Linked DNA regions of Arabidopsis thaliana. The main gene of each other region encodes a partner of the protein of the gene in region 4 in a complex. Each region holds a gene or a part of one and is shown on either strand. Other genes may lie near its edges. The genes, in order: LSM3A, LSM1A, LSM3B and emb1644.

What was found.
Region 1: emb1644 (region 4) and LSM3A share a complex: the UniProt entries of both Arabidopsis thaliana proteins name them as parts of the heptameric LSM1-LSM7 complex.
Region 2: emb1644 (region 4) and LSM1A share a complex: the UniProt entries of both Arabidopsis thaliana proteins name them as parts of the heptameric LSM1-LSM7 complex.
Region 3: emb1644 (region 4) and LSM3B share a complex: the UniProt entries of both Arabidopsis thaliana proteins name them as parts of the heptameric LSM1-LSM7 complex.

Annotation. Positions count from the first base shown.
Region 1 is NC_003070.9:7,419,158-7,422,970, reverse strand, and holds LSM3A (Small nuclear ribonucleoprotein family protein), read left to right. Parts: upstream 1-2,013; 5' UTR 2,014-2,114; coding exon 2,115-2,231; intron 2,232-2,483; coding exon 2,484-2,579; intron 2,580-2,901; coding exon 2,902-2,982; 3' UTR 2,983-3,307; downstream 3,308-3,813. Other genes in the region: AT1G21200 (sequence-specific DNA binding transcription factor), read right to left, coding at 157-1,488; SEC5B (Exocyst complex component SEC5), read right to left, coding at 3,560-3,775. UniProt on the Arabidopsis thaliana protein: Component of LSM protein complexes, which are involved in RNA processing. Component of the cytoplasmic LSM1-LSM7 complex which is involved in mRNA degradation by promoting decapping and leading to accurate 5'-3' mRNA decay.
Region 2 is NC_003070.9:6,606,266-6,609,914, forward strand, and holds LSM1A (Small nuclear ribonucleoprotein family protein), read left to right. Parts: upstream 1-1,849; 5' UTR 1,850-2,022; coding exon 2,023-2,083; exon of another isoform or gene 2,084-2,231; coding exon 2,232-2,300; intron 2,301-2,387; coding exon 2,388-2,503; intron 2,504-2,606; coding exon 2,607-2,669; intron 2,670-2,819; coding exon 2,820-2,897; 3' UTR 2,898-3,104; downstream 3,105-3,649. Other genes in the region: AT1G19115 (uncharacterized protein), read left to right, coding at 86-91, 179-239, 347-648, 774-918, 1,201-1,220; AT1G19130 (RmlC-like jelly roll fold protein), read right to left, coding at 3,280-3,600. UniProt on the Arabidopsis thaliana protein: Component of the cytoplasmic LSM1-LSM7 complex which is involved in mRNA degradation by promoting decapping and leading to accurate 5'-3' mRNA decay.
Region 3 is NC_003070.9:28,853,854-28,857,518, reverse strand, and holds LSM3B (Small nuclear ribonucleoprotein family protein), read left to right. Parts: upstream 1-1,768; 5' UTR 1,769-1,881; coding exon 1,882-1,998; intron 1,999-2,334; coding exon 2,335-2,430; intron 2,431-2,841; coding exon 2,842-2,925; 3' UTR 2,926-3,105; downstream 3,106-3,665. Other genes in the region: AT1G76870 (transcription factor), read right to left, coding at 1-269; SEC5A (exocyst complex component sec5), read right to left, coding at 3,237-3,458, 3,548-3,665. UniProt on the Arabidopsis thaliana protein: Component of LSM protein complexes, which are involved in RNA processing. Component of the cytoplasmic LSM1-LSM7 complex which is involved in mRNA degradation by promoting decapping and leading to accurate 5'-3' mRNA decay.
Region 4 is NC_003076.8:9,813,672-9,818,159, reverse strand, and holds emb1644 (Small nuclear ribonucleoprotein family protein), read right to left. Parts: upstream 2,661-4,488; 5' UTR 2,415-2,660; intron 2,294-2,414; 5' UTR 2,257-2,293; coding exon 2,254-2,256; intron 2,156-2,253; coding exon 2,114-2,155; intron 1,982-2,113; coding exon 1,883-1,981; intron 1,778-1,882; coding exon 1,700-1,777; intron 1,631-1,699; exon of another isoform or gene 1,493-1,630; intron 1,273-1,492; coding exon 1,236-1,272; intron 1,105-1,235; coding exon 997-1,104; intron 879-996; coding exon 856-878; 3' UTR 542-855; downstream 1-541. Other genes in the region: AT5G27710 (T-box protein), read right to left, coding at 3,142-3,224, 3,367-3,459, 3,605-3,700, 3,818-3,888, 4,279-4,421. UniProt on the Arabidopsis thaliana protein: Component of LSM protein complexes, which are involved in RNA processing. Component of the cytoplasmic LSM1-LSM7 complex which is involved in mRNA degradation by promoting decapping and leading to accurate 5'-3' mRNA decay.

The DNA.
Region 1 (3,813 bases), on a different chromosome or scaffold from region 4:
TCACTACATTCACAAACTTCATCACTGATGCAACCACAAAGATCTCTCACATCAAAGTCTCGAGATCATTCCAATCAAAGCAAGCTTACAAAAGCAGAAAATGAGACTTCATTTAGCAAAGCTATATACCAATCAAGAGAAGTGAAGCCAATTCCGTTATAATTCAACACCCAATTCCCTTTGTTTCAACTCCAATCCCATCCGATCATTCTCAAGTTTCATCCTTTCATTCTCCATTCTCATTCTCTCGAGTTCTTGATCCCTTTTCTTGCTAAACCTCTGCCACCTGAATCTCTGTTTCTCCAATTCCAGCAATTCAACTTGGATCTGAAGCTTCTGCTCTTCTAGCTGGAGAGTCCGCGACTCCATCCACTGCTTCTGCACCGAACCTGCTCTTCCACTCTCCGCCCCACCTTGATTCACATCAGCTTGAGAAAACGGTATTTGAGGTAAAGAGACTTTATTACACTCCAGAGAATTCACATGACTCGGATGATCTCCATCTTCATGGCTAAGGCTTGGTCTTATCTTCTTCAAAGGACCACCACCACCTCCATAATGATTTACCCTACAATCTCCATACGCATAATGTTGCTCCTCATACTCATCATGTTCATCACCATCACCATCATGATCCTCATCATCAAGATCCTCCATTTGATGTTTCCTAGAATCATCATTATCATGATCATCTCTGCTTCTAAGCGCCAACTGTAACGAACGCTGCAAAGCAAGGTCATGAGGCAAATGCAACCTATTCCCATTATGATACGAACACATCTCTTCATAAAAAAGATGTTTAGAACTCATAATCTTCCTAACATCATCCTTCTCTTTATCATTCAAGTAACCAATCGAATCCAAAAGCGCAGGATTCTCAACAACTTGACAAGATGTTCCTCTACCAAGCATATCATTAAGCTTCTTATACCGTTTATTCAAATCATTGAACTTATCCTCACATTGCTGCGGCGAAACATGATAACCTCTCTCAGCCATAACTTTAGAAACAGATTTCCACTTCCCTTTCTTCTGCAAAACAGCAAACTTTCTTCTACTACTACTATCTATACTCGAATCATCTCCTATATAAGAAACAGCAGTAATCAACAACTTCACCATCTTATCAGTCCATTTCACTCGTTGCCATGGAGATCCTTTAGTTGATCTATTAGCTTCATTATGAACACCATCACCACCTTCCTCTGTGAAACTTGGTTCATCATCATCACTCACTGAATTCTTCTCTCTTTCAGCTTTCTGTTGCTCAGACATAGACATGTTCTGATTCTGATGATGATCACAGGTTTGACCTGTAACCATAGTAAAGGGAAGACCTTCATGAAGTGGTCTAGAATTAGGATTGTGTCGATGCTGCTGATTCATGGAGTCTTGGTGATGAACTCTCATAGAACCTTGTAAATCAAATCCTCCATAAGATGAAGCTCCACTACGAACTACACCTCCTTGTGGAAAATTCCCATCCATTTTTGGATCAAATTTCTTCCTAATTCATCAGAGAAATCGAAGAGAAAACAGATCTCAAAAAGTCAAAACCTTTGTCAACAAAATTAGTACTGGATCTTAGGGGAATATTAAAGATCGAAACTTTAGGAGAGAATGAAGCAGAGAGGAATCGGGATGAAGAAAATAAAGCGGTAAATATATGAGAGATGAGTCAAAGGAAGTAAAACTCACAGAAAAAAGTTTGCTTTCGTCTTCTCCGGTCAGCTTCCTCAGGTTTCTCTTCTCTCTCTGTATATGACAAAAGGCTTTTTGATTAAAACAACCAATATAAAGATTATAGTAAATTTAGTGTAATGAAATGACCAATTGATACCTTGTGATTGGACTTAATATAGTTAAGTTCCACTAACCATGATTTATTTGCATTAGATGATTTATTATCTTCATAATACTTCGACGAAAAAAAAAAAAAGAGCTAACCATATTGGGCCGATATGAGAGCCCAAAAACATAGTAAAAGGCCGAATCGTAAGATGTTGGTTTGAAGTTTTTAGGGAACCAACGGTGGCGATTGCTTGAGCTCAGTCAGAGAGATATCGCCGAGAGCACTACAATTTCAAAACCCTCGGAGAAGTTATAATCAGAAAATGTCAGTCGAGGAAGACGCCACCGTTAGAGAGCCACTCGATCTGATTCGGTTGAGTATCGAAGAGAGGATCTATGTCAAGCTCCGATCTGACCGTGAACTCCGCGGCAAGCTTCACGTACGTTCTTAACCACTCGGATTCCAGAAACCAGTAACCAGATGTGATCTTTTTCGATTTTGAGCTCCTTTTTGAATTCCTTATTCGTTGAATTTAACACTAGTTTTTATTCTTTTCACAAATATCAAAATTTGGACCCATTTTGTTGAGTTTCAGTTTCGAAAGCCTCAGCGAGAGCTAATTGGCGTAGAAAACCTCATAATCTTGTTAAATTCTAAGACTCTCACTTTTGTTGTTGTTTTTGTGGTGTAGGCTTTTGATCAGCATTTGAATATGATTCTGGGTGATGTTGAAGAGGTTATTACGACTATAGAAATCGACGACGAGACATATGAAGAGATTGTTCGGGTATGTAATTCTCTTAGCTCAATAAGATTTATTAATCTATGTAGGCTTTAGTAGTAAGATAAACGTTTTTGGGTTCAAAATATTTCAGCTATCACAGTATCTATTGTCTATGTCTCTGTTTGAGTTTAAAGGAGAGCTTGATTCATGTAGAAGTTAATAGTGCTGGTTACATAGAGAGTGTTCATTACCAATATAGTAACTCTGTTTAGTTTCTCAAACTTGAATTTTGTTGTTTGCGCTCCAAATGTGATGTGCTAACTTCTCATTAGACTAGTGTAGAATCATATGTTCTTCTCCTGCTGATGTAACTTGCTTCTGTCAGACAACGAAGCGAACGGTACCGTTTCTATTCGTGAGAGGAGATGGAGTGATATTGGTGTCACCGCCTTTGAGGACGACCTAAATGTTCTTGTGTACTGGGATCGGAGTTAACAAATCTGGCGCTGAGTAAAAGCACTTTTTTCTGATTACTTGGCTTTTGAATTTGTAATTGTGTGGTATGTTTTTCTTTGTTGTCAAACATTGAAACCGAATGTAGCATTCGAATCTTGGTAATGGGTGCCTCGTTATAGTAGAATCAGTGTAACATACTTCGTATTGTGACTTTCTTACCGTTTACGATCGGATTTAGTTTCGTTTTCTGGTTTGGTGTAGTTTTCTCTAAAGATTTGTATACTTCCTCAAACTCATTGATTTCGAGCTCTATTATGAATAGTGATTGGTGACATATTTAGATGTGTGTAACCCTAGGAAAGACATTTTGATTAACCAAACCATCAAATTGATTCACAGTACAGGAGGCTGAAAACGCAAACAAGATTGATTTCATGAGAAAAGATTAATGTAATTGTAAGCATGTAAATTTACAGTAAAAAAAAGATTAGTGATGAAATTAAAAGTTTTGAGGTATCTATCGTAAGATATAACTTGTCATGATCACCAACACGCTTCGAGCATAGTAACAATGGAGAAGAGAAGTCTTATCTTCGTCTGGGTCTGGCTTGAACCGGAGAACCCATTGGTTGTGACTCTCTATAGTTTCTGCTTGGAGAATCAGTTGATGTTCTGGAGTAGGCAGCTTTGGCTACTGGTGGCACTGGATCCAACGGAATGGTCTCAATGAAACATGCACTGTTCAAACGGGTCTTCTCTAGCTCCAGTTGAAGCATTCCGCTTGTACATTGCTGTGCAAGAGCCTAAAGCAGCAACAGTAACAAAGCAAACCCGCTTTTAA
Region 2 (3,649 bases), on a different chromosome or scaffold from region 4:
TTCTTGGAGAACATTGACAGAAAAAGAAAATTTCTTGGATAAACACACACATACATGTGCTTTTATATATGCATGTCTCTGAAATATGAAGGTTGGTTTTCATATATGTCTAAATCAAATTAATAGTGTTGATCTTTCTTTGATCGTGCAAAAATCTTGATCTTGTTGTTCTACACAGATTTTTAGTTGGGTTCAAAGAAAGCTTAGCGGAAAGAAGCGTGTGCCTACTTCAGATTCTTGTGAGTAAATATTCTTATTATTCATAGACTACATGAACAGTCTTCGCATAAATCATTTGAGCATATTTTCATATTTTTGTTTCATATGTTTGATGATGTATATATAGCTCAAGAACCATCAAGTCCTCCTTTGAGTAAAGAAGTCCAAGGTTTGCCTCAAGACGAAGAAACCTTCTTAGCCATCGGAACACTTGGAAACAATATCTTCCCCAAGCAAGAAGAAGAAGAAGAAGAAACAGATTCTAGCAAAGATATAACTCCGGTTAATACAGATGTTACTATCGGGAAGAAGAAATCGCTTTCTTTTCTTCTCAAGAAGATGTTTGTTTGCACAAGTGGCTTCAAAACTCCACCTCCTCTTCTTGATTTATCTAGAGGAGATTCATTGCACAACACACGAATGGAAAAGGTAAGCATATATGATCAAATTATTCAATCTTTAAACAAAATATTATTTTTATTATGAAAAGAAGTGAATTCAATAATAGTTATGTACACTAGAAACATTTTTTCCATATGTTATTTTGTGTGTAGATGCTAAGGACAATACTCAACAAGAAGATACATCCACAACGTTCAAATTCTATAGCAAAGAAGTACTTGGAAAGTAATCATAAGATTATGGATGAAGCTCGTTCAAGTGTTGACGCCAACAAATGGGTCAAGACTGATTCTGAATGTGAGATTTTCTAAAATTATATATATTTGGTTTTTCAGGTCGCAAAAAAAAAAAGTTTTATTTTAAACATACAGATGGTGTAATTAACCAAGTGAATATCATGACTGGCTTTATTGCAGTATTTAGTTAGGTCAAAAGCATATAATAAACATCATAAGGACTGAATTAAAATGCAGAAAGATGAAAAGTAAGAATTTAAAAATAGATAAATAAACAAATAGAAAAATGTAAACAAGAATAATGGATAGGGTAAATTAATTTAAATTTCTTTGATGGTTACAGATATTGTCTTGGAGATGTAGATATCAACCAATAAGCTAAATGGACCTGATTGATAGTCATGGTAATAATAGAATGTAAATAAAAACCAAAGTTTTTTCTTATTAAAAATTGATTTTCTATGTAAAATATAAAAAGTAGCAAACAAACATGATCACTGATTCAAGACAAATAATCAAAAATATGTTTTTCAGGTCTCAATTGAGTGATGGTGTAAGTTCAACTGTTCAAGATATGAAGAATAACATTGGAGAAGGGTCATAAAAATATCTCTGATAATCAGTGTTTACAGATGTATATTTACTTGTCAAACTCCATTTTTCATCATAGATTTGTTTTTATTTTTTCAGATTTTAATGTGGTGAAGAAAATCTGTTTGCTCATGTAAACTACAAAATATTCATCTTATCAAATAATTTTATTTGTATTTATGCAGTTTGAAATAAGTGATGAATAATGAAGAATGACTGAGATTTCTTGTTAAATAATAAAATGAAATGAAGGAAAACCCAAATGCAAAATAAAATGGGTTGATTATGCAATAGTTACGAAGTTTTGGGGTTTTAATGTATTTTTCCTAAAATTGAAAAAAAAACTCAGTCTGACCAAACTTTGACAGAACAGAATCGTGCGAGCCGTCAGACTTAACGAAAACGATCCATAGATCTCAAGTCTCTCTCTCTTAGTGAATAAATTAGGGTTCGTTGATTCTCTGTTCTTAAGCTCAGTAATCGAGGAGAAGAAGAAAAGGGAAGATCGGGAATTGGGAAACTGAGAAGTCAAAAAGGCAAATGCGAGTGGAGGAGATTGAGTTTTAGAATTCCAATGTCTTGGGCTGCTCCTGATGATATCTTCTTCTCCACTTCTCTTGCTGCTTACCTAGACAGTAATCTCTCTCACTCTCTTTCTCATTACTGATTCACCGGCGATGAATTCTGTAAAAAAATAAGATTTTGATCCCCAATGGTTGTTGAAGATGTTATCTTCTTCTACATGATTCAATAGTCTCTTAATGTTTTGATTTCTTGTTGCAGAGAAACTTCTTGTGTTGCTTCGTGATGGTAGGAAACTGATGGGTCTACTTCGGTCCTTTGATCAATTTGGTACTTGTCTTTCTCTTTTGCACCGAAAATCCAAAGTCTTTGAAATGGTTTTAAGAAATGTTTCGTTTGTTTTTGGTTTTCTTGAAGCTAATGCTGTTTTAGAAGAAGCTTATGAAAGAGTCATTGTGGGTGATCTCTACTGTGATATTCCCTTAGGTCTATACATTATCCGTGGAGAAAATGTTGTCTTGATTGGTGAATTGGTAAAGCTTTTACTAAACAAACCAATTCCTCTTGCATTTTGAAATGAAAGTTTCCACTTTTAAGAACGATTTCGGTGTTTGAATCGGGTTTCTGTGATCTTAGGACGTGGAAAAAGAAGAGCTTCCAGCTCATATGGTTCAGGTTCCAGAAGCAGAGATAAAAAGGGTTAGTGCAAATATCCTTCTCTCCCTTGTTGATTGCTTTAGCTCTGATTTGTGAGCTTCTTGCACAAATGTACTACAGCTGATTTGCTTTTATTTGGTTTAGTGTTTTGGATTCTACTGACTCCTCAATTACTCTCTTCCGTATACTCAGGCTCAGAAAGCAGAGAAGGAAGAAATGCTTTTAAAGGGCACAATGCGGAAAAGAATGGAGTTCCTTGATCTCGATTAGGGCATTTTCCTATGTGTTGCAGCATTGTAGAAACTAGAAGATCTCAAGATGGAGGATACAGAAGATCCTTAAACGTCATAATGTTAGTTGATGTGTGTATGTGTGGATGACATTGATGAATCCTCAGAACTTAGTCGTTGCAGATCCTCTGCTCTGTTTATGGAATGAAATTGTTGAGCCTGTTCTTTACTGGCCATTTATTTGATCAATCACAATTCAGTAAAAACAAAGATACAAAGATGAAAAGTGAACTCAAAGTACAGTTACAACCTTTGTATGATTCATATGAAAAGTTGAAGTAACAAAGCAAACATAGTATCCTTCTCTTAGTAGTTACCAAAAACCATTGAGCCAATAAGGCGTCTCCTCTAGGTAGGCCCTTTCACTCCGGGTAAGATAGCATTGTGATGAGTGACTCGTGTTGCGGAAACCTTGATAAGAGATCAGAGCGTTTCGCGAGCTCAAAGTCCTCGAACTGGAAAGCAGGAGCGCAGGTGCAGCCAACAAGAGAGAAATGGTTCTCAGAGTCTCTAGCCTCAGCTTTAAGCAGAGCCCCGTCTTGAGAAAAATGAACATCCTTTGTAGGAAACGAACCAAACCAGACGTTTGGAGGGACCGTGTACTGAGGCTTCTGATCACCTTCAAACAAGTCAGGACCAAGACATGTGAATTTCAACTTCCCATCATCGTAGAGTTCCACTACCTGATCAAGGCAAGAAGAAGAAGCCATATTCAAGAACATGGATTATATT
Region 3 (3,665 bases), on a different chromosome or scaffold from region 4:
TCCATCCATTTCACACGTTGCCAAGGAGAGTTTTCCTTGGACTTGTTTTGACCATCACTACTTAACAAACATAGTTCATCATCTTCACTCATTGATTTCTTTCCTCTGTCGACATTGTTGTGACGTGTATCCATAGTATTGTTAAAGCCTGAGTCTTGTCGAGAATTTGGATGGTGTTGTTTCTGATTCTGATTTATAGCATTTGGACGAAGATCTCTCATAGAAGAAACTTGAGAATCAAAGCGTCCTTGCGAGCAATTTCCTTCCATTTCTACAGTTTCCAAAAGAAAAATCTGAATCAGAGAAAATAAAAATTCAGTCTTTCTCCTCAAAATCAAACTTTTCTTAGATGGATTTCTCCAAATATGAAACCTAAATCATCCGATCAAAGTAAGCTTGTAAACAGAGCAATCGCAATCAAACACTACGAATTCGATAAACTATAAAACATCGCTAACAAAAGACGAAAAAAAAAACTTATCTTTAGAGAAAATTTCATGCTAAAACTAAACGGACCTTTTTAAAACGATTGAAGACGAGAGAGTCTAGGGTTTTAGAGATGAGAGTTCAAGTAGAGAGACGAAGAACTCTGATCACTGAGACAATGCGTGTGGCGGACAAAACATTTAGAGGAAGAAGAAGAAGAGAGTCTTGTTTCTAAATCTTTTTTAGTGACAAATCACAAAAGTTATTTATGTCCAATGTATCAGAAGATATTTGGACCCACCATTTCTTTTTTATTTATTTATTTACGATTGATTTTGGTAGTCACTATGGGTAGAGTATGAATTTGAATTTTGAAATAACTGAAATTTATATGTTTTTTTATATATTAAAAGATATGATTGTCAAGGGAAATCTAAGTATTAGTTTTTTTTTTTAAACTTTTTTTTTTTACTTCCTTATTGAATCATTAATACAACATTTCATGATTCATTACTAAATCCACAATAAGTTTTTATACTCTTACACGTGTGCTTATTTTGTAGAAGCGTTACAATTCACATTAAAAAGGTTAAAAAGTGTATATTTTTTTTTTTTTTAGTATCTTATCGAATTATTAACAATAGTGTCGTTCTTCTTCTATATTGTTTAAATTTATGTTATCTTAGTTTGGACATATAAATTTATATTAATTTAAATTTAGTAGATACAATGTGAGTTTTAAAAACACAATATTGTAGAATTTCATCACCAAATCATGTCCAAGTTATTATACTCTCGCACATATATTTATTTTATGGAACCAATAAGTGTTACAATTCAGATAAAAAAAAGTTATAAATTTATATATAAATATATTAAACTTAAATTTGTATATAGTGATTAAAAAGTGATTGGTATCACGTTTTAGAAGATACCATATTTGGTTAAAAACATTAGTCACAATAAATGATTCTATTTTACACGTATGCTTACTTTGTGAAACTGTCAAGCGTTACAACTCGAAAAAAGTTGTGAAACGCTTGTAAGTAGAAAACAAACGAATCGAAGTACAAAACGTCAAATTTAATATCTTAATTTACATTTTAAAATTAAAATCTAACATTAATATTTGTTTACTGAAATATCTATACATACAAGACCTCAACTCAATTTTCTCAAGGTAGAAGTAGAACCTAGCTAGTAGAACCCATTGATAATCTTTGAAATAATAAAATATGCCGATAGTTTTGAAAAAAAAAACATTTTTTCGCCAACGTTCGTTTATGGGCCTAATATTCTGTTGGGCTGTTGCCATATATTTGTAAAATCTTATTCGTAGAACAAAATTGTTAAGTTCGTGTCCGCGAGATCAGAGTTTGTGTCCGGTTATACGATTCGTCGGTACCAAAACCCTCCGAGAAGTGTTTCAGGTGGGAAGGTATCTCTGTCTACACGATGTCCGGCGAGGAAGAAGCCACCGTGAGGGAGCCACTAGATCTGATTAGGCTGAGTCTCGACGAGAGAATCTATGTCAAGCTCCGGTCAGACCGCGAACTTCGCGGCAAGCTTCACGTACGTTTTCTTGTGCCCTGCTTAGTACCTTGAACTTGTCACTACTTAAAATACTCGTTCCACACATAGTTCGTTTGAATTTTGTAACTTTATTTTGCCGATTTCACTGTTTTGGTGTCGAATTTGGTCCTTTTTTGGGGGAAAGTCTAGGGTTTTGATTTTCAAGTTTCAGTTTCTAAAAACGTTTTCTCGAGTTATGGCGATGAGCTTGCAATTGGGAATTTATGGTTTGTGTAAATTTAATTTTGACAAAGTTCTTAAATTTTGGAAGATTTCTACACTCTTGAGTTACTCACTTAGGTTTGATGTTGTTGTTGTTGTTAATTCTTTGGGCAGGCGTTTGATCAGCATTTGAATATGATTCTGGGTGATGTTGAAGAAACTATCACTACAGTAGAAATCGATGACGAGACATATGAAGAGATTGTTCGGGTACGTGCTTTTTCTTACTCAATAGTTAACTTTATAGGTATTTGAGGGGGATCTTGATGAGTTTCTATCTCAAGTTAAGGATATTGTTAGAGAACAAGTGTACAAGTGTCTTTTAGCTTTCACTATATACAGAAGTTTCAGCTCAATGTAGAACATTTACTTAGACAAGAGATTATATCCTACACGAATCTTATTGTTCTGGAAGATATAAGCTATTGGATCGAAATTAGGAAGGCATTTCCATGTAACTGACTGTTTCTAGTAGAGAAGTCTCTTTCTTTAAGCTTCTTAGGCACACACATATTAGTTGTTGGGACTCCTCTAGGCGGGCTACAATTCTGATCTGATTAGGATAAGTGGCTTTTGTCTCTCATGTATGTGATTAGTTTTGTTTACTATCTCTGATTGCAGACTACAAAGCGGACGATTGAGTTTCTATTCGTGAGAGGAGATGGAGTGATATTGGTGTCTCCACCGCTGAGGACAGCAGCCTGAGTTCAAACTCAAATCTTTTGTGTCCTCTTTTCGTAAGGGGAATTTGTGACTATTCTTGTATTTAGTCACTTCTTGTCTTAACTAAAACAAGCTTGAAGAAGCTACTTTGCTTAAATTTCCAATGCTTTTCAGATACTTTGATCGTGTGATATACTAATTACAACCCAATTATCTGAGTTCACAAATAAAGATAAGAGTCTGAAAAAGACAGACAAACAAACAAAAAAATGCACCAGGAACAAGAGAATTATGATCATTTACGTACAAATAAACGGAGAAGAAATTATTAAATAAACAAAGTTGGTCTCTTATTATCTTCGTCTGGGTCGGGCATTAATGGGAGAACCAGATGATTGTGAGCCTCTGTAGTTTCTGCTTGGAGAATCCATTGATCCTCTAAAGGAAGAGTAGGTAGCTTTGGGTAATGGAGGCGTTGACTCTAATGGGGCTGACTCTGCAAAGCATGCTGTGTTCACACGAGTTCTCTCCAACTCTTGTTGTAGCAATTCGTTTGAACACTGTTTCGTTAGAGCCTGTTCACGAAATAAAACAAAATGATCAAAATTGAGGTTTTGATATTTGATCAAATCTGTTGAAAAGAGAAAGGAAATGTATGTGTTACGAGGAGGTCATCTGCTGAAACAGATTGCTTGTCATCTGAAACTGTGTCTTCGCTGCCACGAGTTGGTCTACGATTATGCCCTGGGGTCTCGACTGCTTCACTGATGCTCTCTATAGCT
Region 4 (4,488 bases):
TTTAGTTTTTGTTAGAAAAGAACTATGGATTCACACGTTAGACGGTGTATATTGACGAAAATATCTTTATCAATTTCTAATATTACAATAAGACTTCCGATAGATTTGAGAAGAGGAAAATTCAATTGTAAAAATACAGTGAAGAAAAATATGTAATTTTCATGATATTTGAAGAAATACATATGACTCCTTACATAACGTGAAATATTGACAGATATGTATAATTATTACATTAAAACATAGTTATTTTATGAAATACTAATGATATATTGGATAAAAGACATGTAATTTGTTTATATAACATGAAATCTTGACAAAAATATGAATCTGTTCCAAAAAAAAAATATGAGATTTTGTTAGATAGCTTGACAAAAATTTACAAGTCAATGTAAAGACTTAAGAGCATGTTTTGTCTTTGAAATACATGCGTTTTTTAAATCATATCTAATCTTATATGTCATGCCGACGAGTGATGGAGAAAATCCGGTGAAAGAGGAAAAAAAGAATAGATAGGAAAAAAAGAAAAATAATAAAAGGGTAAGATGGACCAAAGATCTTATAAAAACCCTGTCGTTGGTTAATTGTATAAATTCTCTAACAATTATATAAATTCAAGACCTGAAAGATTCATTTTTAAGCGCAAATGAAAACAATTGGAATTTCACATATACCACAAAAAGGCAAAAGACAAATTTCATTTTTCGAAAAGATCACAAGGAGAATCGAAAAACACACTCCCTATCCCTTACATACTTAATAGAAAACCAACAACAGACCAACTTCTTATGTAACTTTTGGTTTTCTCCACAATGGGAAGTTAGCAGATTTGGCAGCGAGTCTTTAAAACTTGTTGCATCAACCACGGCCGCGACCTGCTCCTGTTTTTCATAACATATTAGAGTTTTAGCTTAAATCCCATTGTGGCAAGACACAGATATTTGAAGTATTCTAGTAAAATCAGAGTTTTGTGACAAGCTTTGTTTGTGTATTTTTTACCTCTGTTGCCACCCATCTTCCCCATTGAAGTTCCTCTGCCTCTGCCTCTGGCTCCTCCATCATCCACACCACGTCCTCTTCCACGTCCAACACCTGGTGGTTTTCTATCTGCACATATTCAACCATCGTTATTAACACCTGAAGTATTCTCAATGTCTACTCTGGCAAAATATTAACACCTCAGAAAACTCGAAGCATATCTCAGTAAAGGTACAATATAGACATGAGTAATACTATACCTGTGCGTGTCTTCTCCTCCTGTACTTTATCAATCACCTGAAGAGAGAAGAAATCAATTTAAGTCAGTTAACTCAATCTAGGTTGCAGCAGTAAGAACATAAATAGAAACAGCATATGACTGTCCTTCTAGATGAAGATATCGTTTATGGTATGTGAATATAATTTGATTTTAGAGGGAATGAAATAAAGTAGAAACAATAGAGAAAAATCGCATCAGAAACACAACACAGCAAAGTCCATAAAAGTGGGTCAACATTCTGGTCAGCAATAACCATTCCCTGTGATATCGTCTAAGACGCACTACAACAAGAGGCACACCATCTGCTGAACAAGGTTCCACAGAAAAATGCCTCTTGGAGCACATATCTGATTTGGCTAAGCATCATCATTCCAGAGAGAGGGGAACAAAGAAAAAACTAGATCAAGCAAGAGATATATACACACACACACAAAAAAAAATTACCTCATCCGGAACTCGAAGGTACTTGATTGTGTTACCACGGATATAACATTCCGGCATCCTCCAAAATCTATCTCCGTCCTAGAGTAATCAAGCAGCAAAATATATGAGTGTCAGCTACACAAAATTTCATCACGAAGTCTAAACAAAGTATATTTGTATCAACATATGAAAACATAAGATAACCTTTGATGTACATATGACTTCACGCAGATGGATGTTCATCCAAGTATCACAATTCACCAAATGCCCATTGTATGTCTCTCCATTCTTAAGCTCCACGAGCTACCAAAACAAAACAAGATTCAAAATTACAGTAAAAGGAAGTTCCTTTAGATCCCTAATGCAATGCTCACTTAAACTCAGCTTCACTTCATATATAACAAAATTGTAATCAAGGGTCGAAATTTTACTCACCATAGGATGCCCTTGAGCAGTTTTAAGCAGCGATAGAGGAAGCTATAAAATCAAAACAACAGCTTTCAGTTAATAAAAATTGAAACTTTAACGCAAACAAGAAAGAAGGAAAAAAACCCTAAGTTTGTCTAGTAACTTACCATCTTCTTAAATCAGAAGATTTAGAGATCCGTTAAGAACCTGATGACATCAGAGAAGTATAACATTAAACCCTTTATAAGATGCGGAAGAAGCAATAGCGAAAACGGAACAAAAACCCTAATTCAGCTACTAAAAAAAATCTGAGAGAAAAGGGAGAAACCTTGTAATATACTCCGAAGATCGGCAAGAAGGTGAACGATTCAAATATGAAAGAGATCGAAGAATAGAGAGGCGTCGAAACTTCGAAATCTGTTTTTTGCTTTTTTCTGCTTCTCGGGTTTTGACAGTGAGAGGGATGGATTTCTAATGAATCGGTGGTCTTTTAGTTTTAGGTCAATGGGAACTTTTTTGAGTTTTGCACTCGAGTCCCTTAACTTTATAATATTATCTGTTTTAGTATATATTGTTAAACATATCAATCTAGCCAACTAATCCGATGTCGTCCAGCGGTTAGGATATCTGGCTTTCACCCAGGAGACCCGGGTTCGATTCCCGGCATCGGAGCTTTTTGTTTTAATTTTTCGTATACTTTGTCTACACCAAAGTGTATTTGTAGCCGTTGGCAATGGTTACCTGGTGGAAAATAACTAATCATTAATATGTTATTGATGCTCTCGAAATTAATTAATTTACATCACTAAGGCGAACTGTGTGAATCAAACAAAGCCAAGTGATATGTCAAATCTAATCCTAAACTTTTACAATTAAGCTTAAAGCCTCAGCAATGTGATTGTTAAAGCTATTTTGTAACCGACAATACTTCAGACCTCTCTAAATTATCAACCAACTCGAACGTTATTGAACCTCGACCAGCTCCAGTAACTAAATCTTAATCAAAGTTTCAATTACACACAACTGTGTAATTGTGAATCTGTAACTGGTTTGTTTCAGCACATGAAAAGCTGATAGTCAGGTTCGTGAGCTCCGACATTCAAGTAATTGACATCAACTGCGGTTGTTCCCAAATCATCTGGTGGAGAAGGATAAGACATAAAGTTTCAATAGAGCATAAATCTTTAAGAGACTTTGAGTGTATGTATGTGTAATCAAATGTGATCTACAATGAAGCAAATTGATGAGTGAGATGAGAGAAGGTATAGAGTTGTTCAAACCTTCGTATATTGTTCTTACAAACTTAACATAGTCAGGGATGAGATCTCGGTATATGATTCCATCCGGATGCGCATCAAGAACCACAAGTACACCTACAGATCAATCAAAGGAAAGGAAGATGTCAAACGTAACACTACAATTGTTTTCCACGATACTAATGAAAGACAAGATCATCTTGAAACTATGAAGTGTTTAGATCTTTTCTATTACTCTCAGAGATGAAAACAGATATTATACCTGGAGCAACCCAATCTGGAGAAGAGTTGCTAGGTAATGGTGCAAGCCAAAGGATATTCCTCAAGTTCATTGAATCATTGTATTTCACGTCAGATCCTAACAAAAAGGAGATACAATCATAATACTGAAGATTTAAGGGATTTCTGTGACCATTTCTATGTTTCAAGAGATTGCAAGAAAACTCACAGTCACACGGACAAGAACCCATATTACCTCTCTGGCAATATCCCATGTTGTAAGGAAACACTTTCTTGTCATAGGCTGGATACTCTTTAGCATGAAACCTACCATCACCAATCAGATACTAGTCAACAACAGTACTCAAAACCTAGCTCAACCATGTAACTTTCTATAAATATTCCCCAAAACTCATTACTTACGTTCAACCTTTCTAAAAACACTGCAACAATTGTGTTAAGAATCAGAAACCATTCTTCCTTTATTGATAACTGTTGGTTACATTCAAGAACACAAGAACAAACCCTAGAGAGTTCTCTTCACTCTCAAAGCCTAAATGCTCCCAATTAACCAAATGGTCTAGACCCCCTTATATCTACTATTCTAGTGCCTATCAAAGCGTCTCGATTCTTACACAACGAAGTCAGTAACAGAACATGATCATCATTACTATTTCAAGAGTCCTAGTGTGTGTTGAGGAGACAAAGGAGACTTACAATATTCCAAGGCGTCCAGATTCTGAGGCAAGGAATAAATGGCCATGGAACAAATCATATCTACTCAATGAAACATTCAATCCAACACTAGGTCCCCTAGATTCAATTAGATGAAACAAGAACTCGAAATATGAGTTCACTTCCTGTTCATTAACATCATCAATCAGATCACTACACCATAAGATCAAACAGTTCACAAAATAGCTTCTT